5 linked regions of the Ovis aries genome follow. The protein of the gene in region 5 purifies or fractionates together with the protein of the main gene of each other region. This does not show direct contact. Links are inferred from orthologs where the notes say so. Each region holds a gene or a part of one and is shown on either strand. Other genes may lie near its edges.

Evidence for each region.
Region 1: the proteins of AMBRA1 (region 5) and BAG5 purify together in Homo sapiens (affinity purification with mass spectrometry, with the first as the bait; 3 studies listed by BioGRID). This does not show direct contact. The link is inferred for Ovis aries from reciprocal best matches to the Homo sapiens genes AMBRA1 and BAG5.
Region 2: the proteins of AMBRA1 (region 5) and BAG2 purify together in Homo sapiens (affinity purification with mass spectrometry; 3 studies listed by BioGRID, with this or other methods). This does not show direct contact. The link is inferred for Ovis aries from reciprocal best matches to the Homo sapiens genes AMBRA1 and BAG2.
Region 3: the proteins of AMBRA1 (region 5) and NEK9 purify together in Homo sapiens (affinity purification with mass spectrometry; 3 studies listed by BioGRID and IntAct, with this or other methods). This does not show direct contact. The link is inferred for Ovis aries from reciprocal best matches to the Homo sapiens genes AMBRA1 and NEK9.
Region 4: the proteins of AMBRA1 (region 5) and DNAJB1 purify together in Homo sapiens (affinity purification with mass spectrometry, with the first as the bait; 3 studies listed by BioGRID). This does not show direct contact. The link is inferred for Ovis aries from reciprocal best matches to the Homo sapiens genes AMBRA1 and DNAJB1.

The regions. Positions count from the first base shown.
Region 1 is NC_056071.1:65,928,448-65,934,167, reverse strand, and holds the start of BAG5 (BAG family molecular chaperone regulator 5), read left to right. Parts: upstream 1-2,243; 5' UTR 2,244-2,333; intron 2,334-3,380; coding exon of another isoform or gene 3,381-3,503; exon of another isoform or gene 3,504-3,536; intron 3,537-3,622; exon of another isoform or gene 3,623-4,282; intron 4,283-5,416; 5' UTR 5,417-5,444; coding exon 5,445-5,720. Other genes in the region: cytochrome c oxidase assembly factor 8, read right to left, coding at 3,381-3,503. UniProt on the Homo sapiens protein: Co-chaperone for HSP/HSP70 proteins. It functions as a nucleotide-exchange factor promoting the release of ADP from HSP70, thereby activating HSP70-mediated protein refolding.
Region 2 is NC_056073.1:3,196,423-3,202,243, forward strand, and holds the start of BAG2 (BAG family molecular chaperone regulator 2), read right to left. Parts: upstream 3,393-5,821; 5' UTR 3,241-3,392; coding exon 3,128-3,240; intron 3,126-3,127; exon of another isoform or gene 2,120-3,125; intron 1,903-2,119; exon of another isoform or gene 1-1,902. UniProt on the Homo sapiens protein: Co-chaperone for HSP70 and HSC70 chaperone proteins. Acts as a nucleotide-exchange factor (NEF) promoting the release of ADP from the HSP70 and HSC70 proteins thereby triggering client/substrate protein release.
Region 3 is NC_056060.1:84,445,689-84,451,385, reverse strand, and holds the start of NEK9 (serine/threonine-protein kinase Nek9), read left to right. Parts: upstream 1-1,877; 5' UTR 1,878-2,023; coding exon 2,024-2,242; intron 2,243-4,448; coding exon 4,449-4,626; intron 4,627-5,697.
Region 4 is NC_056058.1:9,588,328-9,594,011, reverse strand, and holds DNAJB1 (dnaJ homolog subfamily B member 1), read right to left. Parts: upstream 3,714-5,684; 5' UTR 3,666-3,713; coding exon 3,455-3,665; intron 2,333-3,454; coding exon 1,752-2,332; intron 1,454-1,751; coding exon 1,223-1,453; 3' UTR 44-1,222; downstream 1-43. Other genes in the region: small EDRK-rich factor 1-like, read right to left, coding at 5,446-5,656. UniProt on the Homo sapiens protein: Interacts with HSP70 and can stimulate its ATPase activity. Stimulates the association between HSC70 and HIP. Negatively regulates heat shock-induced HSF1 transcriptional activity during the attenuation and recovery phase period of the heat shock response.
Region 5 is NC_056068.1:75,486,022-75,491,578, forward strand, and holds the start of AMBRA1 (activating molecule in BECN1-regulated autophagy protein 1), read right to left. Parts: upstream 3,643-5,557; 5' UTR 3,436-3,642; intron 3,276-3,435; exon of another isoform or gene 2,880-3,275; intron 1-2,879. UniProt on the Homo sapiens protein: Substrate-recognition component of a DCX (DDB1-CUL4-X-box) E3 ubiquitin-protein ligase complex involved in cell cycle control and autophagy.

The sequences.
Region 1 (5,720 bases), on a different chromosome or scaffold from region 5:
AACTTTGGTGTTGGAGAAGACTCTTAAGAGTCTCTTGGATTGCAAGGAGATCCAACCAGTCCAACCTAAAAGAAATCAGTCCTAAATATTCATTGGAACATGAATTTCATGCTGAAGCTGAAACTCCAACACTTTGGCCACCTGATGTGAAGAACTGACTCATTTGAAAAGACCCTGATGCTGGGAAAGATTGAAGGCAGGAGAAGGGGAAGACAGAGGATGAGATGGTTGGACGGCATCACCGACTTGATGGGCATGAGTTTGAGTAACCTCCGGGAGTTGGTGATGGACAGGGAGGCCTGGAGTGCTGCAGTCCATGGGGTCGCAAAGAGTCAGACACGACTGAACAACTAAACTGAACTGAATTATCCAATCTCATCTGTAAATAGGGATGATCAAAGCACCTACTGAACACAATTGTGACGTTTAATTAAAATATGCAAAGCTTTCAGAACAGTGCATGCAAATGCTTGAGAAATGTTAACTACAAGTATAAATGTCAATGAAATTCAGACTATAAGCAAATATTGATACATATAACATGTAGCCGTGGTTCTCTTAACTTGTGAACTTATTAGACTTGAACCCAAGGATCCTGATGTTTTAAGGGAGCCCAGCCTGGCGCTCTATGATAATCTAGAGGGGTGGGAAACAGAGAGGGGAGGGAGGGGAGGGAGGCAATATATGAATAATTATGGCTGGTTCCCACGGATGGAGGAGCCTGGTAGGCTACAGTCCATGGGGTCGCGAAGAGTCGGACATGACTGAGCGACTTCACTTCCACGGCTGGTTCACGTTGTTGTATGGCAGAAACCAACAAAACACTGTAAAGCAATTTTCCTCCAATTAAAAAATAAATTAAAATTTAAAAAAGAATCCTGATGATTAATCTTAACAAAACCGGGGGAAAAACAACTAGACAAATGGAGAATATAAGTAAATATCCTGACGCCCAGACCAGCCACATGAGACTCTCCGGGGGAGGGTCCCGGTACTTTTTACCCTTCCAGATGGTTCCAAACATGCAGGCAAAGGCGTAAAACAATGATAGAGACAGCAAAGACAAAGAATAAGCAGGTATGGCACAGCTGGGGAGCATGTGATCTGACAGCTGAGCTCAAGTTGGATTTGGAAGGAAAAGTGGTGCTTGACGCTGAGTTCTCTACTGTTTCTCTACGAAAACTGGTAGTCAGAGAATTCCCTGGCAGCCCAATGGTTAAGACTCTACATTTTCACTACTGAGGGCCCAGGTTTAATCCCTGTCCAGGTAACGGATATCTCACAAGATGTGCTGTGCAGCCAAAAAATAATAATAATGATAATTTTTTAAAAAGCTGGTAGTCTGGGGCTTTCCTGGTGGCTCAGTGCCAAAGAATCCTGCCAATGCAGGCAACATGGGTTCCATCCCTGCTGTGGGAAGATCCCACGTGCCGTGGAACAAGTAAGCCCGTGGGCCACAACCACTGAGCCTGTGCTCTGGAAGCCACGCTCCGCAACAAGAGAAGCCTCAGGAATGAGAAGCCCCGTCACCTAGAGAGTATCCCCCACTCGCTGCAACTAGAGAAAAGCCTACACTGTAACAAGACCCGCACAGACAATAAATAAACAAAATTTAAAAACAAAACAAAAAAATCCAGGGACTTCCCTGGTGGTCCAGTGACTAAGAATCCACCTTGCAATGTAGGGAACACAGGTTCAATCCCTGGTCAGGGAACTAAAACCCCACATGCCGTGGAGCAACTAAGCCACTAGGACCTGATGCAGTCAGATAAATTAATCAACTAATTAACAAACAAACTGGTAGCTAGAGATGAGAGGTAAATAAATCTTGTAGATCCTAAAAGCAGACCTCCCTAACTCAAGTGAAGAACAAAGAATTAATTAAAAAATACACAGAATGAAGTAGAAATACAGGATTAAAATATATCTCTTTAGATTAAAAAAAAAAAAAAGATTTACAGCCTGTGACTTCTAAGAAGACCTCATATTTAAAATCAACAGTCTCTCTGGCCTGCAGGAACTGAATTACCTAGAGAACTAGCCGTGTGCTCAGGAAGCATAGAAAGATGAGGCCAAACACACAGGAATTACACATTTCCCTGAGGAAAGAACTGTTCTTTAATGTCCCAGCCAATACCTCGCATAATGGGGAACACAGCCCAAGAAAAACACAAGTCATAAGGCTAGAACTGGGAAGGTGTGACTCATGGGTCAGCTGCTTCCCTTTCAGCATCATCGCCTTCACAGGTGGAGGCAGTCTCACAGGTGTGCACCGGCTTGTCACCCGGCCGGCAAAACCTAAGACGGAGCTCGTCTCAAGGAGCAGACCCACGGTAAGACTTACTTCAACAAAAGGTTGGGGGTCAGTGGAGAAACCTGTGTGGGCGCTCTTCTTTTTTCCAGTGCTTGTTCACAAACTAAGCTGGGCTAAGGCCCCGTCCTGCGGGCAGCTGTCTGCCCTTCCGGAGCATTTTCAGATACCTGTTGAGTATCTTTCTGTCCAAAGAGTGGGATGCTGAGTGCATTTTATGTTCTAGGAATAGAAGTCAAGGGCTGTGGCCACTCAATCGGGGAACTGAACCAGAGGCTTGGGATCCCAGTGACCAGCTGCCCTGCTAACAGGCAGGCATGCTTTGGAATTAACAGGCTCTTTTTAGTCCTTCTTTAAGGATGGTTTAAAGGATGCTTTCCAGCCTCCCTCCTTAGCCTGTTGGCAAACGAAGTGTTAGTATTTAGATTTAACTTGGCTTAAACTTTCTATCTGCAGCCCATTCCAAGCCGTTAGCCCATATTTTCATATGACAGCTGGAATGAAGGTCTAGGGCTCCCTCAAACTAAAACATCCTTCCCCAGAGCGGGGCAACTTCTAAAAACTGCTTGCCACTCCTTGCCGCTGCAGGTCTTCATCTTTGGGGACCTCTGGTTAGGAACAGGGATGTATGCACACACCGTTTCCAAACTAGAACTGTTCAACGTGTTGAATGAGCCTACGAAATGCGATAGTAAAGTCTGCCACCACTTGAAGAAAAGCACTAATAGTCTACATGCAGCCAAACGCGCTGGCGCGCACATTCTGTGCATATCAAGAGCTCTTTGACCATAGAGACTAATTATCCTCGACGAGAAATTCGGCACAAATCAACTTGCTCGCGGACTCTGCCCCTACTTGTCAAGAGCCCTGGGGTGGCGGCGACGCAGGAGCCTCGGAGGCTCGGGACTGCCCCACTCTCCCCGCCGCCTGTGTCCGCGCGGCGGGGCGCCGGGGGCCCGGCCCGCGCCGGCTCAGGGACCCCGCTCCTGGGGAGCTCCGCCGACGCGGGGGACGCCACCACAGGTGTCCCTGGGGGGCGCGGCCCGGCCTCTCCAGGGACCTCACTCACCCGGCTCGGCGCCGCATCCCTGCGCTCGGCGCCGCGCTCGGGGGCGAGCTGACAGCCGCGGCCTGAGAAGGCGCGGCAGAGAGCCGTGACGACGAGCCTCCTCGCCGGCCGCCGGGCCGCCATAGCTGCCCTCCGCCGACTCCCGCGCCGCACGGCAGAGTCGCGACGTCGCGAGGCGCTACCTTACGGCACCGTCGCAAAGTCCGCGGGAGGGCACGGCGCGGCGGACCGTGCGCTCGCCCGGCGTCTGACAGGCTGAGGGGTTGGACTGACGGCGCGTCAGGGCCGCGGCTCCTCGGGAGCTGCCATCCTCGGCGGCTTCTGCGCCGGGCGGCCAGCGGCGGGCTCGGCCAGGGGAGAAGTGCGGCGCGGACGCCGGAGGACGTTTTTCCCGAGGCGGGGGGGCGGGTGTTCGGCCGGGCCCGGGGCGACGGCGGGAGCTGCGGAGTCGCAGGGCGTCGGCGGCGAGGCGCGCCATGGCGCGGGCGGCACAGGTGAGCGCGGGCGGCCGCGGCGCGACCCTCTCCCTCCGCGCGGGCGGTCCCGGACGATCCCCGTCTCCCGGGTCCGGAGCCGGCCGGGCCCGAGTCCCCTCCCTCCCCGTCGGCTCGCCCGGCCCGGCCGAGCGCGCCCGCCCCCTCCCCCGCAGGCCATTGTGAGGTCAGGCCGGCGGGTGCGTCGTGGGGTCCGGGCGAGACGCCCGGAGCGGCCGCCGCGGCCAGTAGCTGCCGCCGCCACCGCCGGCCCCTTCACCGGCTGCCCCGACCAGACCTAGCCGGGAGGGCTGAGAGGGATGCAGCTTGGGGCCCGGCGCCGGTGCCGCACCCCGTAAAGGGCTGACCTACCACCTGGCCACTTCACCCGCGGGACGCCAAGACCAAGCCCGCTTAGACCGCGTCTGGGTAAAGTGCCGGGAGGGCAGGGCGAGGGGGCAGGAAAGAACCGAGGCAGCCCGCCGCTCCGGGCCTCTCCGGAGGCGCGTTCTTGGCTCGGACACCGGCAGGGGATTAGTTTCGATTGAGCATCCATCCCCCGCCCGTGAGCGTTTGAAAGAAACCCAAGAACGTGGGCGGGGGGTGGGGCGGGGGGAATGCATTAAGCCACTCGAGCCTTAATGGGAGGCTGATGAATGAGTTAGTCATCGTTGTCGCATTGTCTTGCGGTGTGTTTTGGAGGGGGGAGCATAACAGGGCCTAGGGGGTACCAGGCCTCCAAAGCCCAAGCTAGTGCCTTTATCATAATGCCAGGCGCCTTCCCTGTGGAATTCAAGCCTCTGCAAGGAAGTTTATGAGGTCCACAAAGGGTGTGGCGAGAAACAGGGCGTCTTTCTGGAAGTGTCTAACGGGTGGAGAGGCACGTAGAAACGGGGACTTCCGCGAGTGCCCGCGAACCCCATTGTTTGTTTCAGTGGCTCAGTTCCTTTTACGGGAAGCTAGGCCGGGTGGGTGGAGGAGGAGATGGCAACCCACTCCAGTGTTCTTGCCTGGAGAATCCCAGGGATAGGGGAGCCTGGTGGGCTGCCCTCTCTGGGGTCGCACAGAGTCGGACACGACTGAAGCGACTTAGCAGCAGCAGCAGCAGGCCGGGTGGGAGTGCTTAGATGCCCCCCAAAGGCCCGGAAGGTTATAAGAGCTACTGGTTTACTTTCCACAAAGGTGCCCTTCTCTTGCCAAGAAGCAGCTTCCACTGTGAAGACCTAAGGTGCTGGTGCTTTTTCCAAGCTGACAGCTCAACCTCATGCCATACTTACGTAGGCACACGCTGCTCTCTTTTACAACTGAGGAAAACTGAGGTTCCCAGGCCCAGCACTCCAGCTTCCCTTCCACACTGCAATGACCCAGTCTCAGTCACTGCCATATGGAGGTTGCTTGCGGGAGAGGGGTTGATAGACTCTGCTTTCTGTCCTGAAGTGTGGTCTTTGGCTTGCAGTGACAACAGGCCCTTTCGTAAGCATATCTTTTTAGAATGAGGTACTAATACACAAGTACCATTCTTCAGGCTTTGTGGTGTAACAAGTTATTTTTGTCATCTTTTAGTGCTTGTGAAACTGAACACAACAAAAGTATGGAGATGGGAAACCAACACCCTTCTATTAGCAGGCTTCAGGAAATTCAAAAGGAGGTGAAAAGCATAGAACAGCAAGTACTTGGTTTCAGTGGTCTGTCAGATGACAAGAATTACAAGAAACTGGAGAGGATTCTCACCAAACAGCTTTTCGAAATAGACTCTGTAGATACTGAAGGAAAAGGAGATATTCAGCAAGCCAGGAAGAGGGCGGCACAAGAGACAGAGCGTCTTCTCAAAGAGTTGGAGCAGAATGCGAACCACCCACACCGGCTC
Region 2 (5,821 bases), on a different chromosome or scaffold from region 5:
TGAACTCAGGATTGTAAGTAACAAGCCTCCTAATCATCACCCAGACAGTAAGGAACACTCACTGCTGAGACACTGGCGTTAAAATGGGCCGAGGCTTCAGGGTCAGGAGCTAGTCCTGAGCAGGACGGCCTCAGGCGGCCGCTCAGTCCCTCTGGACCTTTACTGCTGCTAAAGGAGGCAATGGATGTCCTCCTGCCTTGGAGGGTTTTGGAAGGTTCATATGATACCGTCTATGAGAAGTGACCTTTTAAATTACAGGCTCTGACAGTATTAACTGAGGTGCTGTCTTCTGGCTCCGGGGGTCGGGTCAGCCCAGCAGGAAACTCAGCTAAAGGACCCAGGTCCCTGCTCCCTCCCTTGTTCCTTGGTGGCCCGGTGCCCAGGAGGCTGCTCTGCGGACACTTGTGAGCAGCCAGCTCCCCGTCCCATCCGTCCCCTGGGCTGCTCTCCACACCTCGTGGCCAAGCATCTTCACCACCAGCCGGAGCTTCAGGGCCACTCACACCCTGCAGAGATGGCATTCAACAGCCCCTGATCTAAACCCGGATCTAAGTGGAATTTTCACTTCTTTCAGTAAAATCATATACTATTCCTACACTTTGAAATATGACATAGTAACTCAGAAAACTCAGGCGTAAAGCATTAAGCTCTGCAGCCACTCCTGAGCTCTTTTAACTTCTCAAGCCTCAATTTCCCGCCTGGACAATGAGGGTGACATAATTTCCACAAAGACACAGGACCTGTAGTCATGCTGGTTAGCTAAGATACCTGTTGGAGGGTATCATTTATGAATTATATGATCACTGCTAAACTAGTAACAATCGTGAGCAAAGTGCTCAGAGCCACTGACAAATGGAAAAGTCAGAGGCCATTTGCACGGTCACGAAAACCCGTAGAGAGAGACATCACCTTTTTAGGAGGAAGCAAAAAAGGAGATCTAGTTTCGTGCTAACGCATTAGAAACAACTGGAGTTTCTTCAGCGATTTGTGAGATGCGGTCAAACATTTGAAAAACTTTAAACACCATGGACACCAGTTCACATGGCAGGTCATGAAGCACTGAGCATAATTCTATTTTCGATTTCATGCGGAGAAAGTTTTTGCTGAGACTAGCACAACAGAGGGACAGTAAACACAGACCTCCTGGTACAGTCTGTGATTTTCAGTGTGCCTGCAACACTGCTTTATTAGCCACTCGTAACATGAAAGTAAATGACAGTTAACACATGAATGTCTTGTTTTCTTTTTAAACTTGATCTTCTGGGCCTGATTCTAGTTTCTAACAGCTCAGTGCTCTCTTCCATGACCCATCTGCCTTCATAAACTTCTCTATTTTTTACTTAACCTTCCAAAAGACTTAATTTTGTCAGCATCACTTTTTTTTAAAAGAAAGAAACAAAGCTCATCAGTCTAAAACTAGAAAAGTCCTTAAAATGAACAACTGAACACACATTTATCAGTCTCAGCTCAAGGGTTAATTCAGCAAGTGATTAACCACTTGTACACGGTAATCAGAATTCATTTCACATTAAGGAAGCCCTAGAACGTAATATTTCAAACAAGAAACTTCCTTTTAAAGATGAGCACCTGCCCTATGTGAGGCATCAATTCAAGTCTTAGAACAATAACTCAGCTTCAAGAAAGGAACTGTGTCCTGCCCGAGCTGAGAAGAAAACATCCTTTCTTTCCAACTAGGGAAGAGCCCCCCTGAAATGGCTGAGAACATGCCCTCAAAGTTCTTGAGACCAGAGACGCTCAGTCACTTGTTAACGCTGCTACATAAAATCGTCCACAGGAACTGCTCTGCCTGTTCCACCTGCTTCAGCTGGAGAAGGACCATTGTCACTCTCCGTGAAATCGTGGTGGTGAGCGTCTCATTTTCTGAGAAGACATTGTTTCTTTCTGTAATAATAAAAAGAACTATACAATAAATGATGAAAGTCAACATAAATATTAATAAATGATAATAAGTGCCTCATTTGGTTATTAATGTACTTTACTGGCAAACAGACCCCTTGTCCTGTTTTGAGATAAAGACACATATGCAGCCCTTCTTAAAATTGTGTCTTACATGTATTCCTTTGCTCACTCAGAGTCTGGTAACTATGGGAAAAATTACCTGTGGTTTTAGGGAGTTTTGGACGCCTTGGTAAGATCTGCCTGTAATTACACCTGCACACAATTTACCGGACCTTCAATGACAATAAGAAGTTATGGGAAGTACACAGAAGTCTTCATTCACTGTTAGAGAAAAGATTATTTCCCAAATTTCTTACACATTATTTAGGAATCCTATACAAGCCGGTGACTACATTTGTCACTAAGCAGGGTCCCCACACCGGTTTCTATAGAAACTGACAGCAGCACAGCCTGGAAAGAATTCAGGGAAAGAGCCGGGGTGAGGCACTCTGTGCTCTGGGAAAACTGGCAAAACAGGCTCTCCGGTTTTCAGGAACTCAGATTCCTAAATCTTCTCAAATTCAGAAAAGCACTAAAAGCTTTAAGGGAGACAGCAGCTCCTCCTGACCGGTGGTAACCTCTGCGCGCCTGACCCCGGGCCCTGCTCCAAAGTCACATCCTCGCTGACCTCAGCCCGACCCTCGCCGCCAGGGCTTCCCTCTGCGCGCTGACCGCCGTGGACACCCCGACCGGGAGGGGACACGCCGACCGCAGGGACACCCCGACCGGGAGGGAGCGCTGCGGCTCGGGCCCTGGCGGCCGGGAAGGTGGGACGGCGCCCCGGTGAGGCCGAGCGCGGCTTGGGGAGACACCTGTCCGCTGCTCTCGGGCCTGAGGCCAGACGGATTTTTCCGTTTTGCAAAGGGCTCGGTCGCTCAGCACAGAAACCACTAACCGGCCCCGGTCCTAAAACCGCTCGCGGCGGGGAGTGGGCCGGAAACACCTGGCCCCCCGCGGAAGGTTCTGGAAGCTCCGCGGCGGCACGGCCGTCGTCTCGAGTCACGTCCCCCCTACCTCCTCTGTTCGGGGTCGCGCGGTCCCGGCGCTCGGGGCCGCCGAAGGGTGGGGGGCCGCCGCGCCGACCCAGCGCCGCGCTGCCCTCCGCTCCGCCCTCGCCCCCCGGTCCTCGCCCGCAGCTCCGTCCCCGCGCGGCCCCCGCCCCGCGCACCTGAGCTCCAGCTGGTCCAGGCTCTCGAGCAGGCGGCTGGAGCGATCGGCCATGGACGAGGAGCGACAGAAGCGGCCCTCGTTGGCCTTGGCGCTGATCCTCGCCTGAGCCATCTGCGCCGGGCGGGCGGCCCGAGGTCACCGCCGTCCCCACGCGCCAACCGTCTACTCGGATGCGCTGCCCGCAAACCCGAAGTCGGGGGCCAGGGCACCCAGATAAGGGCGCGAGGGCTTGGCGGCCGGACTCCGACCGCGCGAGCTGCCTCGGGGGCGGCGCGGCGGGGCGGCTCCGCGTGGCGCCAGGCCCGGCCCCGCCCCGAGCACGCCCCGGGGCGAGGCCCGCGCCAACCACGCCCTCGCCCCGCCCCACGGAGGCCCCGCCCCCAAGCATAGCCGGGGCGGGGCTCGCGTGAGCCACGCCCTCACCCAGGCTGGCCCGCGGCGCCCCGCCCCCGATCACGCCCCGGGGCGGGCTCGCACCAGCCCCGCCCTCTCCCCGCTCCGGGGCCATCCGCCGCGAGGAAGGGGTCCTTTGCGTAGCCGTGGTTCCCGGGCACCTTCCCGAGGTGAGAACTGGAGTCTGGACGCCAACAGAGCAGAAGACAAAAAGCCGCCCTGTCCAGCTGCGTGTAGGGGTCAAGGTGAACCTCATCGTTTTCACACCCACTCGCATGAAAGCATTTGTAATGACTTCTCTGTTTAAGTTATTGGTTGGAATTCGAGTGAAATGATTGTTATTTAAGGCCGTTTCTAACCCCATTTGTATAAACCTCCTGTTATGAGAAGACCATGGAGGCCGCTCGGCCACCGTGCAGGTCAGGGAGTAGTAGAGGGGTGGCGGGGCCAGAGCACACTAGGCGTTCTGCCCAGCAGTACACGGAGGGGATGCACAGGGCACCGGGAAGGGGATAATAACAGTTCAAGGCTGGAGCCCAACCTTTAATCTGAGATCAAAGTCGAGGTACTTGAACAGAGATGAGGCCCCTAAGGCTAGATCCCAGTTCCTCTGAACTCTTAAATACTAATTCACAACTGCTGTAGGGGGTCATCTGGCCTCATTAGACGTTTTATTGTATCATGACAAACGTGGAATCCTAGACGTTTTGTGAATGTGCTAGACTCTCTCACACCTCAGACTCAGTGGACTCCAACTCCAGAGAATACCCAGGCCCGTCTTCACTCCCCACTGGGCCAGCATCCCAGCCTTGCCCTCCCATCTGGTCTGGTGCTGTTTGCACCACTGTCTGTGCTCAGCTCAGCAGCTGCAGTGATCCAGAATAAGGCACAGCAAATGACTCCTCAGAAACCTTCAGCGGCTCACTTGTGAAATGAGTAAAAGCCAAGGCCTTCAGAAGAGGCCTCAGAGGACTCTCGTCGCCTGCTGCCTGCACTAGCCTTGCTGTGCATGTCTGGATAAGCTCACTCCCTACCTTCAGGCCTTTGCTCAAGTTCTCTAAGGACCCCGACCACTCTAGTACGAAGAGCAAGCCCCGCCCCCGCCTCACCCCCACCGCTCCTCAGCTCTTTCGGGCGGCTGTTTTCCTTCCTCATCTCAGCAACCCCCCCCAAGTGTGCCCCACTGCGGAGGTGAGGGCTTCCTTTTGCTCACTGATGTATTTCAAGTGCTTAGAATAGTCGCTGACAAATGTTAAGTACTCAATAAATACTTTGTGAGTGAAAGAATAAATGGTTTAAAAGAAATTTAAAAGAAAAAAAATTGATGGAAAAAAAGAAAGCTCTTTCAGTTGAAGGCTATGCTACTGGGTTTCTGGTTACCCTGCCCAAGTAAGTCCAGGAGAGTCCTTGCACCTTGTTCTTGGGAGAGGTCTGAGTGGCCAAATGGTCAGGAGTCGGAAGAAAGGATTGGGCTGGTAGGATACCAAGCATCCAAAAACAAACTCTTTAAGGGAGGAATTTTTATTTAAGACAGTCAATGATACCACAAACCAGACGCCGTCAGTACATTACCTATATATCCTTTTTAAAATAAACACGGTCATTCATCATTTCTTTGACAAAAGCAGTTATTCAGGTATAAAAAGCCATCACAATAAAAACTTTTTAAAAGAAAAAAAAAACCTATCAGTAAAATGAAAGACAAATAAAAGCAAACAAGCAAGCATCATTGTCAGAAACATTTACTCTTGATAATATTCCCCGTTACTTTATGTAACATCCACTCTCCTCCATGTGTCTAAATTACGTTCAAATTATGAAGCAAGCTGGTTTCATAATTATAAGAGGAACCAGAGATCAAATTGCCAACATCTGCTGGATCATCGAAAAAGCAAGAGAGTTCCAGAAAAACATCTATTTCTGCTTTATTGACTATGCCAAACCCTTTGACTGTGTGGATCACAATAAACTGTGGAAAATTCTGAAAGAGATGGGAATACCAGACCACCTGACCTGCTTCTTGAAAAACCTGTATCAGTTAGAACTGGACATGGGACAACAGACTGGTTCCAAATAGGAAAAGGGGTACATCAAGGCTGTATATTATCACCCTGCTTATTTAACTTATATGCAGAGTACATCATGAGAAACGCTGGGCTAGAAGAAGCACAAGCTGGAATCAAGATTGCCGGGAGAAATATCACTAACCTCAAATATGCAGATGACACCGCCCTTATGGCAGAAAGTGAAGAGGAACTAAAAAGCCTCTTGATGAAAGTGAAAGAGGAGAGTGGAAAAG
Region 3 (5,697 bases), on a different chromosome or scaffold from region 5:
ACTAATAGAAAAAATGGATCCAAATCAAGACAGACAAAAGTCCCTCCTATTCAGACCCAATGTGCAATGTTACACAGAGTGTAGGATATCATACTTTAAAAGGAACACTGATGAACTCTTAGAGAGGTCAGAGGAACGTGAGCTCATTAGCTCCCATACCCCTCACCCCATTCTACTCATTCTCTTCCTCCTATGTTTGCTGTCACTATCCACCTACTTAAAAACCTAGATGCAAGTCTCTCGGACTCCGATTTGCTTCACCATCCATATCCCAACTGATCACAAAGTTCTAAATGTTTCTTGGATGGATTTCTTAAATCTGGCCCCCCTCTCCATTCACACTGATAGCACCTGAGTGCCTGTCTCTAGGCCTCCTGTCTTTATCTTCCATGTTGTCATCAGTCCTTTGTAAAGTATAGTTTTGGTCTTTTGCAAGGTGACCTTACTATTTATTATCTGTGCTGGGCACATGAACAAAGAAGACTCATTAATTACGCTGTGGGGAAAAGTATTATTGGGCCCCCCCCCCCCCCCCCAGCAAATCAGGACATACAGACACACACATCATGTACTCCTCTGCTTAAAAATGTCTAGTATTTTCCATTGCCCACAGGAAATATCAAGTTCTATATAAATAAATATTTGAGGCCTTGTCTTCTGCTTCTATCCCACAAATACCATGATCTCCATCCACATGATCTTCTCTTAGCCCCCAAATATCCTGCCCTCTGAAAGAGATCCCAGGCCTTGTGTGGGCTTTGACTCCCAGCTCCCCTCAATAGTTATGTAACATACAGTAGGTTACTTAACCCCCTATCTCAGCTCCTTTTGCAGAATGGGAATACTGTGAGGATTAAATGGAATGACACATGGAAAGAAAACCTTTAGCATAGTGCCAGGAACATAATAAATATAATGAATGTTAGCTGTTATCTCTGTAGGTCAATAATTCCCATAACTTTACGACTAAAAAGTTACCTTAGCGATGTAAAGTTGCTCAAGGCACATAACTGATGGAACACGCTTTTCCACTGTATTGCAGTTCTCTTAGTGACTTCAGGGCTCTGCAGATTCCCCACCTCCGATTACAGTATCTGGCACTTAGGGCATGAAGAATGTTGCATGAGATCATCAGGTGGTCAGAGATTTGGAAATACACTTGGAAGAAGAATGTGAAATCTGGAAAGGGAGGAGTGAGTGTCAGGAGGGTTGACTTCAAATATTCTCTAAGATGTATGGAAGACAGGGACCCAGGGTAGTTCTGGAAGAAATAACTGGGCCCACTAACAGATGACAGGAGGCAAGAATTTTCCGCTGGGAGAGGGAAGGGAGGTGAGGTAAACGCGAGACCTAAGAAACATAGTTCAGTCCCTGGGTTTGGGAAGATACCTACTCCAGTATTCTCGCCTGGAGAATCCATGGACAGAGGAGCCAGGCAGGCTACAGTCCATGGGGTCACAAAGAATCGGACACCACTGCCACTTAACACGCACGCAAAGATATCTTTGCTGTAACAATTCTCTAAAACAAACAGCGCTGTGCTACGCTAGGAAGGGCTGCTTCCCCCAGTGACTGCCCTTGAGATAGGCCTGGCGCCAAGATGAGACTGGACGACCTCTGGACCTCAAAACTGTCTGGGCACCGGGCTAGGAATCAGGGGAGGGGTCTATAGACCCGAGGAGGACGCCCTTGCCCCTGCGGGAGCCATCTGGTCCCATTCGGTCTCCACCAGGCGCCGCCAACCCCTGCCCGAGGCTTCGTTTTCCCAGCCTGCATGGAGGGAAAGAAATCTTGCCCCGGGGCTTAAAGGAACACCCGGCAAAGGAGGAAACCCCCTGGGCCGGAAGCACTCAGAACTGCTTCCGGGCCAAGGGGGAAGGAGTCGCCATGGAGCCTCGCGGGGTGGCAGGGCTGACGGGGCCGCGGGGCTGACGGGGCCGCGGGCCGGCGTCTGAAGCGGGAGAGGCGCAGCGCCGCCAGCGCCACCGGGGACATTCAGGCCGGTCCCGTCCCCGCCGCCGCCATGTCGGTGCTGGGCGAGTACGAGCGACACTGCGACTCCCTCATTTCGGACTTTGGGAGCGAGTCCGGGGGTGGCGGGGACTCGGGCCCGGGGCCCAGCGCCGGTCCGGTGCAGCGAGCCGGCGGCGGCGCGGCGGAGCAGGAGGAGCTGCACTACATCCCCATCCGTGTGTTGGGCCGCGGCGCCTTCGGGGAGGCCACGCTGTACCGCCGCACCGAGGTAGCGGCCCCGCTCTCCCCCGCCTCGTCCTCGCTCAGCGATCGGGTCCCTCAGGGGTGTCTGTCTTGGGGTCCTCACCGCTCCTGTACTAGGAGTTCGCAACAGCACTGGTTTTTCTAACCGGTCGTTTTTGTTTACCATGGGGACTGAGCAAGGCATTGAACCTTCTCTGAGCCTTAGTTTTCCCGTCTGTAAGTTGGAGTTAGAAATAGCAACGTACCTTAAAAGTAATATTATTTAAGATTATTTTGATCATCGAAAAGGTCATTGGTAAGATTGTAGCGTGTGGGCTTCTTCATCAGTGATGATCCAGCAGCGTTTATGCCTGGGAAATACTTTTTTTTTTTTTGGTATATTTTAAACCATTCGTTCTTAACTTCAGGAGGGATAAAGGACCTCTTTGAGAACTTAACGTAAAGGTACCTTCCCGCCTATCCATTATTGCACACATACAAATCCTTTGAAGAGATTCTTTGATGGTGGCTCAGAGGTTAAAGCGTCTGCCTGCAATGCGGGAGATCTGGGCTCGATCCCTGGGTCAGGAAGATCCCCTGGAGAAGGAAATGGCAACCCACTCCAGTATTCTTGCCTGGAGAATCCCATGGACGGAGGAGCTTGGTGGGCTACAGTCCACAGAGTCGCAAAGAGTCAGACACAACTGAGCGACTTCACTTTCACTGATTAAAACCCTAGAGTGGGGAGTCTACTTCCAAAATTGATCATAAACTTTCATCACTAAAGTCTTAAAACTCTGCTTTCAGAATAGTTAATCAGTGTGGGGTTGCTGAAGATGAGATTCTATCAGTGATCTGTCTGCAGGTCTGTTGTGTGTTCCAAGTACTTTTAAGTCTAAAAGATGGATGAGGAGAGAGGTGGTTGCAAGATTAATGTATTATGAGTTACTGTTAGTGTTCTCATGAGAATGAGGAGATGTGCTTTGGTATTCCTATTTTTATAGTTGAAGAAACTAAGGTAGTATATTTAAGTGACTCGCTCACTTAAATTAGAAGCAAATCCTGGGCTGGAATGGAGGGTCACATCTGCTTGTCCATGCCTTTCCATGATTATTGCGTTGAACTTGATTGCCAAGGTTGTTTCAAGTTAAGTTTGATTACACTTTCCCCAAAATTGCATAGCATTATCCATAACATCAAATGTTTATTATTTTTGAGTTTACCACGGTCTAATTAGAAGCAAATTTTTCCCTCAAGAAGCATATATTTCAGTGGCAAGACATGTTAGTTTTGTTAGTAACAAATAGTGTTTAAGTTGTATGTGTATATAAGTGTAAAAGAATGGACATTTATTTCAGTGGAAGGAAATTAAGGGAGTGCACAGTAGAAGGTTCATTGATCTTTTGCTGAAGTTTCAAAGGCCCAGCACAGCAATCCTAAAGGACAGGGAGGGTTATTTAGGTGGGGATGCTTCTGAGCTGGGGAACAACATCAGTAAATTAGAGATGTTATAAAATGGAGTGAATATTAGGAGCTGCAGATAAGTCTTCATGAATAGAAGAAAACATGTGATAACATAAAATTGCAGGAGAAACAGAGTCACAGAACGTGACAGAGTAAGGAAAGTGAACTCAGAGCCCTTCAGTTCAGTTCAGTCGCTCAGTCGTGTCCAACTCTTTGCGACCCCATGAATCACAGCACGCCAGGCCTCCCTGTCCACCAATTTCCGGAGTTCACTCAAACTCATGTCCATCGAGTCAGAGCCGTTAGACATGACTTATTCTTATCTATAAAGAATAAATGAAAACCACTAGAGAAATCTGTATAAAGTTAGAGGCAATTTTAACATGTCTATTTTACAAGAAATATCAGCCATAGATAACCACTCTCCAGTTCTCTTGTTTTTCCAATAGTCGAACCATACTACAATCCTCATCATGACTAGCAGTCTTTCATAATGTCCCTCAATAGAAACCCTGAGATCTACCTCCATGCCATATTTTTTACCTGGAATTGACATTAGGTAAATTAAGTGTAAAAACAACATTTTAATGCTTTCCCTAGACCTGCAGTAAATTTTGATGCTCAATTGTATGCAGAATTTTTAAAGTCTTCATGTTTTATTTAAAGGAGAAAAAGGAGTCAGTTTCTGCCCATCTAGGAAGTTTTCTTTCTAGGCTCAGAGATCCGGGTGTAGATTCATTCTCTGCCAGGCTCGAGGAAAGCACGATACCTCTGTTGCTGTGTTATAGGATGACTCATTGGTCGTGTGGAAGGAAGTTGATTTGACCCGACTCTCTGAGAAGGAACGTCGTGATGCCTTGAATGAGATTGTTATTCTGGCACTGCTGCAGCATGACAACATTATTGCCTACTACAATCACTTCATGGATAATACCACCTTGCTGATTGAGCTGGAATATTGTAATGGTAAGGTAGAGTTCAGTGGGACTTCCTCCAGCAAGACATTCCTTTGCTTATACTTACCTTGAGGGGGAGAGAAAAATAAGATCCATATTGACAAAGAACAAGAACTTTAAATGGACTGCTAGAGTTTAAGAGAAGTAGTTCAGGCCCTGAAAAGTTTTGAAGTGATCCACAAAATGAGGGGAGGGATTTTTCCCCCTGCATGCTCAAATTTTGCTTTGTGATGATAATTCCATCTTCAAATTATTTGTTCAGTTGAATTTTACACTCATTTTTCAAGCTTTTTTCCCTTATGAAATGACAGGCATTAGAAGCATAGCATGGTTTGACACTTGATAGTGAAATCTTGTAGGTGATATTTATTTATAATGATTTTAGCTAAAGCTGTCCTACTGAAAAGTGGTCTAAAGACCATAGCTGACTGAAAATGATTTCTTTGAACCCTTTTGCTTGTTTTAAAAAAAAAGCCATATAGCCTATTTGTTAAAAAATAGACCCTGAACCCATATCCTAAGCTTTACTACTTTTTAATCTCTGTAATCTTGCACAGACTACTTCTCTGTGCCTCAGCCTCCTCATCTTAAGTAAGTTTGCTAATAGGCAGTACTTACCTCCTAGGGTTATTGTATTAAATGAATCTATAAAGCCCCATCAACTTTAACATTTCTATTTTACGGGAAAGTGTACTATTTTACAGTAGTTCTTGATATGTAGCAAATTTTTGATAGATTTTGTACTAACTTATTATTACCTAAGAGAATGCCCAAAGCCCATTCTTGAGCTAAATGCTAAAATGGTCCAAGCATATTCTTCATTTAAATCTCTAAGAGAGAGCTCCTAGATTTGTCATTTATTTGCTAGATTCTTGTGTATCGTGATTGTTTTCAACCCTAAATGTATGAAATTATATTAAGAGATTTTTGAAGTAGCAGAGGCCTCTTAACTTCCTTTGTGGTTAGGAGGAACTAGAACGGATGGTACACTTATTGAAACTTTTGAGTTACTAAATTATGAAGAAGTTGTGAAACTTAACTAGGACTACAGTGTAAGTTATAGCTGCAGATAGCAAATAAA
Region 4 (5,684 bases), on a different chromosome or scaffold from region 5:
CCCATCAGCAGAACCCTTAAACAGAGTCGCAGGACCGCTCCCCTGAGGTTTAGCATCAGTCTTTAATGCTGTCACGCTGCACATTGACAAGTCACACGCTTTGGTCTTGTGTTGGCAGTGGCAACTTACAATGAGTCTAAAAGTCTGAGCACCAGACTGACCTGCAAGGAACAAACACTTGTTCCAACACCCCCCCGCCCCCCACCCCCACCAGGTTCTTTCTCAGTTCCATCATGGCCCTTTACAGAGAGCAGCAGCTGCTGTGGACCGGTTTCGTCTGACTGCACACCAACTTTACACAGAATTATAAAAACATATTTACAGGCGTTCCACAGTGCTCCTGTAATCAGAAGCAAAGACCCTTTTATCAAAAGGGATTATAGCTAGGGCTGTGCAAAATTCAAAAGGATCAGATCCTTTTGAGAGAGTCCAGAGTCCATTGAACAAAAAAAATGACCTGGGTCACGGGGAAATCCCAGGTGTGCCAATAGATTGCCTCACAGCAAAGGAAGGTGAAGATCTCTGTCTGGGAGCCTGGGGTCAAGACTCCAGCCAAGGTCCCCCACCCTTGAGGGAGAGGCAGCTGCACAAGTTACTCACTCAGTGAAGGCCGGCTCCCTTGGTCCTGCTGGAACAAGGGAGGTATTGCTTGTGGGAGCTGGCCAGGCAGTTCAACAACCAGAGTTGAGATTCTCAATTTGAGATGGCAAAAGAGAAGACGGGGTTTCTTAGGGGAAGGGCAAGATGGGGGAGACAAATACAGAATAAAACACGAACTGATCACACAATAGAAACTCAGGAGTGTACAGGGTCTGGTACCCATAAACGCAGGTCCACACCCCAGGATGTCTGCAAGCGGAGGGACTACAATAGGGGGATCAAGTCCAGCTGTGGGTCCGCGGTCTGCCTCTCCCCCTGGGCAGGGCCTGGAGAGGGAGGAGGGGGGTGCTGCCCACCCAGGAGGGCTGCAAGGACCCAGTGGGGCAGACTGCACTGCCTTTGCCTGCTGTCCCCACCACCTGCCGCCCTACCGCTCGAAAAACAACTTTAGTCTAGTGCACGACTTTGAAAGATTGTAATATATTCTCTGGAAAACATTCAGCAGTATGAAAGCCCTCCCTGGGCCCTCCCGCCCTCTCACGGGTCCACAGCTGGTGGAACGGTCAGGAAATCCTTGAGCTCTGGAAAGGTCCCTGGTCAGTCCTTGGGGAACACGGATTGACTATATCGGAAGAACCTGCTCAAGAACGGTTCTTGACGTCTGGGGAATCCTTTCAGGGAAGATCACTTCAAACTCAATAATGAGGTCCCCGCGTTTCTCGGGCGTTTTCGGGAGAGGGAGGCCTTCTCCGGGAACTTTTCGCCGCATGCCAGGCCTGATGACATCTTTGAACACAACGGGTATGGTCCTGCCGTCCAGAGTGGGGACATTCACTGTACAGCCACACAGAGCCTTGGAAAGCAAAGGGACAGCATTAGAAAGAGTAGCTTAAGGAGCTCACATCTTGCCCAGAGGCTGCTGACTGGAGGGTAAGCACCATCAGACCTCTGCAGCTAAGACCCTGCCTTAAGATCTACCCACGTCACCAGCACAGAAGCTCTGGAAAAACAGAGCCCTGGACAGTCTTGTCGCCATTGCACTGTCCAAGCCTGGCCGCACCAAGTGCCCAGAAACATCTGTCAAGCAAACACTGAACAGCATCACAAAGCAGCTTCTCTCTCCCCAGATGCTGCCCTGCCTAGTGCCTTACCTCCCGAAGGCTGATCCTGGCTGGATAAATGACATCAGAGCCATCTCTCTTAAAGATATTGTGTGGCTTGTCCTTTAAAACAAAGACAATATCGGCTGGAATGTTGTTTGAAGTCTGGTCTCCTTCCTTGGGGAAGGTGATTTTGGTCCCTTCTTTCCACCCCCGCTTCACTTCGATGGTCAAGATTTTGTCTTCATTGCGAATGCTCTTTCCGTCGGGGTTCAGCCGCTTATGAGAGATTTTCATTTTCTTGGTACAGCCGCTGTAGATCTCTTCAAGTGAGACCCTAAGGTCATGGGTGACGGGGGGATCTTGTTTCTTTCGGGTGGGCTCTTGGGCAGGGCGGGAGCGGCCAAAGTTCATGTTGGTGAAGCCACCCATGCCCATGGGGAAGCCAGAGAACGGGTCATCGATGTCCATGCCTTCCTCCCCGTTGCGCTGCCCAAAAAAGTTGTCAAAGGGATTTCGGCCACCGAAGAACTCAGCAAACATGGCATGAGGGTCTCCATGGAATGTGTAACTGAAGGAGGTACCGTTAGTACCACCGCTGCTCCCGCCGCTGGGACCACTGCCCTTCAGGCCTGAAACGCCAAAGCAGAAGAAATCAGATGGCGAGCTAGGAACTTAACTCTCCAGGAACTTTCCTTCAAGGAAAAAAGCTTAGGAGCCATTGGGGGAGGAATTTTTTTTAGCCTGTCAGGGAAGAACAAGGAAGAACTCCAAGCTTTTACCTCCCACTTGCAGCAGCAAAACAGAACCCCCACCCACTTATGGCAGTTAGTCCACTGTGGCAAGACAATGGTGAAGTGTTCAAGGTTTCAGATGGGCATCTCTTGGGGCCACCCAGGTCCTCACATCTGAGTAACTCATTTCCCTTGCACTGTTACAATGAGTACGGAAAACTAAGAGATCCAATGAAAAATGCTTACCCCGGATCAGTTTTCACTAAATGCTTACTCTTAAATTCCCTACAGCTAGAGACGTGTGGAGAGTAGTAAAAGGAACGTGAAACTGCAAATGCAGACTTTCAAATTCTCACACCCTGGCACTAACTGCCCCCATTCTCATGTAATTAGCCACTTCTTCCTGAGGACCAAGCCCAGCAACCTGCCTGAGTCATCAATGGGAGACGGGACAAGAAAGCTTTCTTTTTCCCTGAAGAGGGCTGGCCCCACTGTTCCCTGCACCTTGACGGCCGACTAGGTAAGCACTTTACAAGGATTACCTCACTCCACCCTCGGAGGCGCGGGAGGTCGCTCGGCGCCAATTGGCACCTCATTTGCAGGCTCACTACTCGCAGCCTGTGCCCAGGGCTCAGCCAGAGGTCCTGCCCTGAACCCCGGGGTGGCAGAGCCTCCCACCTCGCACAGGTGAGCCCAGGCCCGCAGCGCCAGCAGCCAAGCTAGGTCTCCGAACCCTCTCTTTCTGCACCCGCACCCCCGGACGTGGGTGGAGGCGAGAGCCCAGGGAGGGGCAGCCCCAGACATACTAGAAGCTTCTGAACAAGCAGCGCGGCCAGGGCCCCTCCTCCCATCGGGCGGCCGCCAATCCGAGGGCGGAGGCCCTTGTGGCCAGAGGGCCGGGGCTGCTTCAACCCCTGCGGCCGAGCACCCCCCGGAGATGCTGCAGCGAGGCCACCCTGCCTCGGTTTCTCCGCCTGTCAAACGGCGAGGGCGCGCCCCCGGCTGCGCGCGCGCACGCACCTTCCTCCCCGTAGCGGTCGAAGATCTCGCGCTTGCGCGGGTCGCTGAGCACGTCGTAGGCCTCGGCGATCTCCTTGAACTTCTCCTCAGCGCCGGGCTCCTTGTTCTTGTCCGGGTGGTAACGCAGCGCCTGACGGCGGTAGGCCCTCTTGATCTCCTCGTCCGACGCACCGCGGGCCAGGCCCAGCGTCTGGTAATAGTCCTTTCCCATTGCCCCCGCCTGCGGCCCGCCACCCAGCTGTCGCCGTCCCCCGGCTCCGCCACCGCCCCGTCCCGGACTCTATATACCCGTCCGGCGGAAGCTTCCAGAGCCCGCCAGCCCCCTCCAGAACCTTCCGCCCCGCCCCTCACGCGGCTTTGGCCAATCCCCGTCGTCCAGGCTGCGACGCGCGACATCCGGGGCGGGGCCGCGCCGCCAACGGCCTCCTGCGCGCGGCCCTGCCCCATCCTGGGCAACGCTTCTCAGCGGCGCGCGCCCCGGGCGGCGGAGGCCCCGCCCACCCTCCGCGGGCACCAATAGCGACCCAGGTTTTATTGCTTCCTGCAGCCAGGCAGGCCTTGCGGCCCGCCTCCTGTCTGGGTCAATAGGTTACGACGCGCTACTGTAGGAAGGGGCGGATCTGGGGAAGACACCACCCCGTCACAGTTCAGTTCAGCCTCTCATTCGTGTCCCACTCTGTGTGACCTCACTGCAGCACGCCAGCTTTCCCTGTCCATCACCAACTCCCAAAGCTTGCTCTAACTCACGTCCCAACGAGTGGTTGATGCCATCCAACCATCTCATTCTCCGTTGTCCCCATCTCCTCCTGCCTTCAATCTTTCCCAGCATCAGGGTCTTTTCCAGTGGTCAGTTCTTCGCATCAGGTGGCCAAAGTATTGGAGCTTGAGCTTCAGTATCAGTCCTTCCGGTGAATATTCAGGACTGATTTTTTTTAGGATTGACTGGTTTGATCTTGCAGTCCAAGGGAGTCTCGAGTTTTCTCCAACACCACAGTTCAAAAGCATCAGTTCTTCTGTGCTCAACTTTATGGTCCAACTCTCACATCCATACATGACTATTGGAAAAACCATAGTTTTGAATAGATGGACCTTTGTTGGCAAAGTAATGTGTCTGCTTTTTAATGTGCTGTCTAGGTTGGTCATAGCTTTTTTTCCAAGGAGCAAGCGTCTTTTAATTTCATGGCTGCCGTCACCATTTGTAGTGATCTTTAGAGACCAAGAAAATAAAGTCTCTCACTGTTTCCATTGTTTCCCCATCTATTAGCCCCTTCACTAGCAGATGCAAATATGCCCGCCCCTATCTCACAGGGCCAGGAATGAGTTCCTGCCAGGTGTCTCTGGGCGGTGTGAGTTGCCTAATTTTCCCCAGCCCGACACCCGCTTCCTTCTGGAAATAAAAATAGTCACCCGCCCTGTTCTACCAGCTGTGTGTGCATGCTCAGTCATATCCAACTCTTTGCGAGCAGAATGCAGGTGGGAGCTCCAGTACTATCTGCGTCCTCAATCATAAAGGACCCTGCAAAGCGAGGTGAGCACCGGGAGCCAAAGTTCACCTCCCTGCAGACGTCTTCTCAGTCCAGCCCTTCAAGCCTCTCATTTTACCGTTTTCTCAAGGACACCCACCACTGAAATCTGAAATTGTTCCTTGGTTTTCATGTTAAATGTCTCCTCCGCTCCTAGCCTGGAATCACCGTAAAGTCAGGGACTGGGTCCTGTCAGTGCTGAGTCTCCAGTGCCAGGAAGTGTCTGGAACCAAAGCTTCGTAAATATTCCTGGCTGTTTTTATTTTTATTTATTTATTTTCATATGCATGGTTAGTGTTTTATTCTTTGAAATGGTTCTGAAACATCACGCTAAGTCAGGTTGAAAGGAAAAGTTTAAAATAGTTTTGTACGGATATAACATGTACTGACTGTTCACTCTACAAAATCTTGATCATAGAGCTTATGATACACTTAGTTTGCAGCAGCACCCTGGTTTCCAGATAGTCATTATTTCTCTCTTGTTTGCATAGACTTCTTATCATTGGCTGCCTTCTGCTTTTGTTGCATGATCTCAGAGTCCCGCTGCTTCCTCTGAGAGGTAGTCAGGCTATCCTCTTTTCTTTTTCCTTTATTAGTTTCCTGGGATTTCTTCATGTTTTTCTGGCAAGGAAGTTCTCGTTGATTTCCACCTGCCCGACCTTTCAGGCGGGGCCAGACTCAATTGCCCCTCTCCCTCTGCGGACTAA
Region 5 (5,557 bases):
ATCTGAGTATCCATGGGGAAAATAACATGTACCTTCAAGGACTGTTCTGAGCATTAAACGAGATTAACACTTGCAAAGAACACGACACAGTAATGCTCAATAAAGGAAAGTAACCTTCCCTATGGCCTCCTTAAATAGTCTGTACAAGATTTCTCAGCTAGCAACATGGTAAACCCAGGACTTAAACCCAGGCCGCCTGATTCCTTAATCTGTTTTCTTCCAGCCACATTGCTTTGGCAGACTGCCGCATACTGCTGCTGCTGCTGCTAAGTCGCTTCAGTCGTGTCCGACTCTGTGCGACCCCAAAGACGGCAGCCCACCCGGCTCCCCCGTCCCTGGGATTCTCCAGGCAAGAACACTGGAGTGGGCTGCCATTTCCTTCTCCACTGCCGCATACTACTGACACATAAATATATTGACAATAACTGATCACAAAATTTTTATCTATCAGTAACTAATTTTAGCTTTGAGAAAAAGGGACCCAAAAAACCTGATCTAATTAACTTGGGGGAAGGAGGGGTTTGAAAATACAAAACATCAATTATATCCCCAAGCCGCAGCAGAGGTGGTACCACAGCACTTCCGTACAAACAAAAAAATATGACAAGAAACAGAAAGTTCTCTCTGGGTTTATGAGGAACAATTGGAGAAAGAAACAAGCATGACTATGATTAAAGGAACTTAAAAAACCTTAGGTTTTTTTTTTTTTTTGGTAAACCAAACCACTGGGCAAAAAGATTTGCATCCCATTCCAAAATAACTTGATCAGGGCTGAGAAGTATCTTTAAAAAAGAGAACGCAGTGTACGAACAACAAACTGTTTCTTCCAAGTCTTTTAAGAGTTAGATAAATGAGAAGAGTGAGATTAAACCACCAATGTAAATTGTCAACATTCATGAAGGTCCTTGAAGACCATAAATGTTTGTTTTGGATTCAGTATTAATAAGCAGCATAAAGGAGTGTGATCAAAAGGATAAAAGTTTCATAAGTAACCTAACACAACTTGAAAATATTTTGAAAATTATACAGTATAAAACTAAGCTATTATTCTGTTAATAAAAATAACCAACTGCTTTCAAGTGATATATATATAACTAGTCTTTTTCAAGTGGTATACATAACTTCTTTCAGGATAAGTTCTAAAAGACATTCAAAGAAGTTCACATCTTTAACAATCCCCAAGAACTTTCTTACTAAAAGAGAAGACAGAATAATTCAGCCACATTCGGAATTTGTAAATTCTGAAAAGAAAGGCCAGAAGAGAGCTTGACCTGACATTAGCAGAACACAAGATTTAACCGAGAAAGGTAAAGGTTGAGTGAACGTCTACCACAAAGCAGGGGGGGAAGCTGATAAGAAGCTCTACCCCTTTCCACGACAACCAAATTCCTGGTCCTCTTCAACTCAACTTAAACCTCTGCTAATTATTTTCCATGGAAGCATAACAAAATACCCCAAAATTTCTTCCTGACACTTACAGCGAATTTCATTTCTTATTTAGCATTCATCAGGAGCCACTAACTCTAAATTCTATGCAGAACCTATCAATCTCCAGGGGAATATGTCCCTCCCTTCTCTAAATTCTTCATTGTCATTGTTCAGCAAATTGTGTCTCTTTTGCAACCCCATAGACTGTAGCCTACCAGGCTCCTCAGTCCATGGGATTTCCCAGGCAAGAGTATGGGAGTGGTTTGCCATTTACTTCTCCAGACGTTCTTCCCAGATCAGGGATCGAACTGGGGAAGCCCTCTAAATTCTTTTCTCTGATATTAAATTCTCTTCTGTCATAGAAACTTTTTCAGAGAACACACATTAGCCTAACTTCCCAATATAGATTCTCCATAAAGACAGTCTAGTGACTCTTCATTAATCTATTCCAGGGAGCACTCAGGATCTGGCAATTAGGAAATCACTCAAGATCAAGGGCCCTACATTTAAATCCTGCTGACCTCACTAAAATGATGATGATAATGATAATACAAGGAAAAAACAATAATCCTTCCAAAAGTCATGTGAGAAGTCTAAATTTGTTAAAGTACATAGACTTGTACAGTCTCACTCCAAGGACTACAAATTTAGTCTCTTCTCCCTTAAGAAAACCCAACTCCTACTGATTCTAAATTTGTACTATGGAAATACTTATTCAACCTAGAATGACCTCTAGGTTGATTATTTTTTTCAACAAAGAAATTACACAAATTAGAATCATGCCACTAAATCCAATGAAAATAAAACGAGGAAGAACATTTAGTCTCCAAAGTTTCCGGGCTAGGAGAGAAAAGGAAAAGATAATGGAGTTCCCATATTTAAACTTTCGATTTAAATATGTCAATATTTGAATGATTTCTACACATAGCCTTTTAAACTCTAGTATATGCAGTAACTAAGTCACTAATGCAATACACAACACCGGCACAAAAGCGACTCCTTAGGTTTTATTTGGATTCTTCCTAGAAAGCAGTCTCTCAGGACAAATATCTGACTTCAAAATCTTGACCATCCTCTTCAGGACATTAAGTACTTAACACCACAGTTGAAAGACTTCCAGTGAGAAACAGGCTGAGGAAGGAGACAGAAAGTATCAACGCGAAAGTAAACCAGACAGCAAACAAAATTTTATATCAAGAAACAAAAAGAAATTGTCATGACTCCTCCCGCTAAAATGATACAGACTTTCAAAGCAAAAGCAGCCGCAAGACTGCGTGTTCCCTTTACTTCTGAAGTCTCCAGGGACGGAATTTACCTATATTCCTCGGAAGGAGGGACTAGAGAGACGATCAAACGACAAATCACTATGTGGATAAAATGACGGGTTAAGTATGGGGGGGGGGGGCGGGAGGGACACACTGAACTGGTAAACAACGAAAAAATGAACTCACGGTGCATTTAAAGATCTGTGCTGGATACGGGGAAAGTCACGTCCCAGATGAACCTCAGTTTCCCTACCCCAAAAAAGGCGAGAACGTGACACTTGGCTCAGAGGAACCGGAGGGCCCTGCGGCCTCAAGCCTCCACCTAGTCAAGGGTCCCTTCGAAGGCCGGACTTGGAGAGTGTCCCCCAGTACAACTGAGTCGTGACACCCGGAGCCTTTGGGGGTCGGGAGGCCAAAGCGCGCAAAGCTCTATCCGTTCCTGGAAAGCGGCTTCCCCCAAACACTGGGGGTACCGACACCCTCCCCGGACCCAACGAACCCTCCCTCCCGGGCCACTCCAGGCGGCAAAACCAGCATCCCTCCTTCCTTCCGGCTTCTCCCTCCGCTGCCCGCCGCCTCTCCGACCGCGCCCCCGAACGCCGCCGCCGTGTAGCTCCTCCTCTGCCCGAGTCTCCGCGGCCGACCGGCCCTCCCGCCCACCCACCCGCCGGCGCCAAGGTCTTCCGAACCCGGCAGCGGAAGGATGCCGGGCCGGGGCCTCCCAGGCTCCTCCTGGGCCTACCTGCGAGGCGGGCGGGGGCTCGGTTTGCAGCCCAACGGGTGGACTGAGCCGCGCACTAGAAGGAGAGGCAAGAAGGAAGCGAGGGGTCCGCTCCGCCGACCGGCGGGAGAAAGCAGCCTGAGCGCGGGGGCCTCGCGGACGAGACAGCCTTCGACCCGGCGCCGCCGCCGCCGCCGCCGCCGCTCGGGAGACATCAAGCGAGAAGACGGCGCAGGAGATCACCGAATAGACGAACGCCCCAGACCTCAAAGGAGGAGCGCCCAAGCAATCGTTCAGGGAACCGCAGTCGAGCGTCGAGAAGCAGCTTCGCTCCAACTCCCGGTCCGGCTCCTGTCCAAGGCGTAAATAAACGAACCCAGATCATAAGCCATGGAGTCGGAGTAGACTAGGCTTCTGCCATTTTCTGTGTCGAGTGCGGGCTAACTCGTTTAGAGAACCGGAATTTCTCTTGAGAATGTTGAAGAGCAAGTCATAGTATGATAACGCTTTGTTACTTAACTGTAATTCAGCGACTACCTTATGGACTCTCAACAGTATTTATCCCACCTGAGCCAACAGGCACAGAGAGAATCCAGGCTGAGGAACAAATCATCTCTATTCAAGCTCCAGTTAGCTCCCATAAGCATAGCTGAGAAAAGCTGGGAACGTTCAGGGTTGTGTAGTCTGATCTTACGGCAGGAAATATAATACACATACTGCTTTTATTTTATTGCAAAGACCTAAAACCACAGGCGTGCTTCTTAATAATACATAATAACCAATAGTCTCTTTGGGTTCTAAATTCAACAAAGTGTTATCGTCGCAACTATGGCGTTTTTTTGAACTCTCTTAGTAGACAGACTAACATGGTCAGCACAAATATGGTAATATGTTCATTCCAAGCATAATTTAATAAATCATATAGATCATCACAGTATGGATTACCAACTGTGAGCAATAATAGTTTATCTTACCCACAAGCTGGAATCAAGATTGCCGGGAAAATATCAATCACCTCAGATATGCAGATGACACAACCCTTATGGCAGAAAGCGAAGAGGAACTAAAAGCCTCTTGATAAAAGTGAAAGAGGAGAGTGAAAAAGTTGGCTTAAAGCTCAACATTCAGAAAACGAAGATCATGGCATCCGATCCCATCACTTCATGGGAAATAGATGGGGAAACAGTAGAAACTGTGTCAGACTTTATTTTGGGGGGCTCCAAAATCACTGCAGACGGTGACTACAGCCATGAAATTCAAAGACACTTCCTCCTTGGAAGAAAAGTTGTGATCAACCTAGATAGCATATTCAAAAGCAGAGACATTACTTTGCCAACTAAGGCCCGTCTAGTCAAGGCTATGGTTTTTCCAGTAGTCATATATGGATGTGAGAGTTGGACTGCGAAGAAGGCTGAGCGCCGAAGAATTGATGCTTTTGAACTGTGGTGTTGAAGAAGACTCTTGAGAGTCCCTTGGACTGCAAGGAGATCCAACCAGTCCATTCTGAAGGAGATCAACCCTGGGATTTCTTTGGAAGGAATGATGCTGAAGCTGAAACTCCAGTACTTTGGCCACCTCATGCGAAGAGTTGACTCATTGGAGAAGACTCTGATGCTGGGAGGGATTGGGGGCAGGAAGAGAAGGGGACGACCGAGGATGAGATGGCTGGATGGCATCACTGACTCGATGGGTGTGAATCTGAGTGAACTCCGGGAGTTGGTGATGGACAGGGAGGCCTGGAACTGAACTGAAAACAAAAGAACGTGATCATCTTCCAAAACAAAAAGTTTTAATTTATTTATATTCCCATGAAGTCCTTGGATATATCCTATAATCAGTTCAGTTCAGTCGCTCAGTTGTGTCCGACTCTTTGCGACCCCATGAATCGCAGCACGCCAGGCCTCCCTGTCCATCATCAACTCCCGGAGTTCACTCAGAGTGGCATCCATTGAGTCAGTGATGCCATCCAGCCATCTCATCCTCGGTCATCCCCTTCTCCTCCTGCCCGCAATCCCTCCCAGCATCAGAGTCTTCTCCAATGACTCAACTCTTTGCATGAGGTGGCCAAAGTACGGGAGTTTCAACTCTAGCATAATTCCTTCCAGAGAAATCCCAGGGCTGATCTCCTTCAGAATGGACTGGT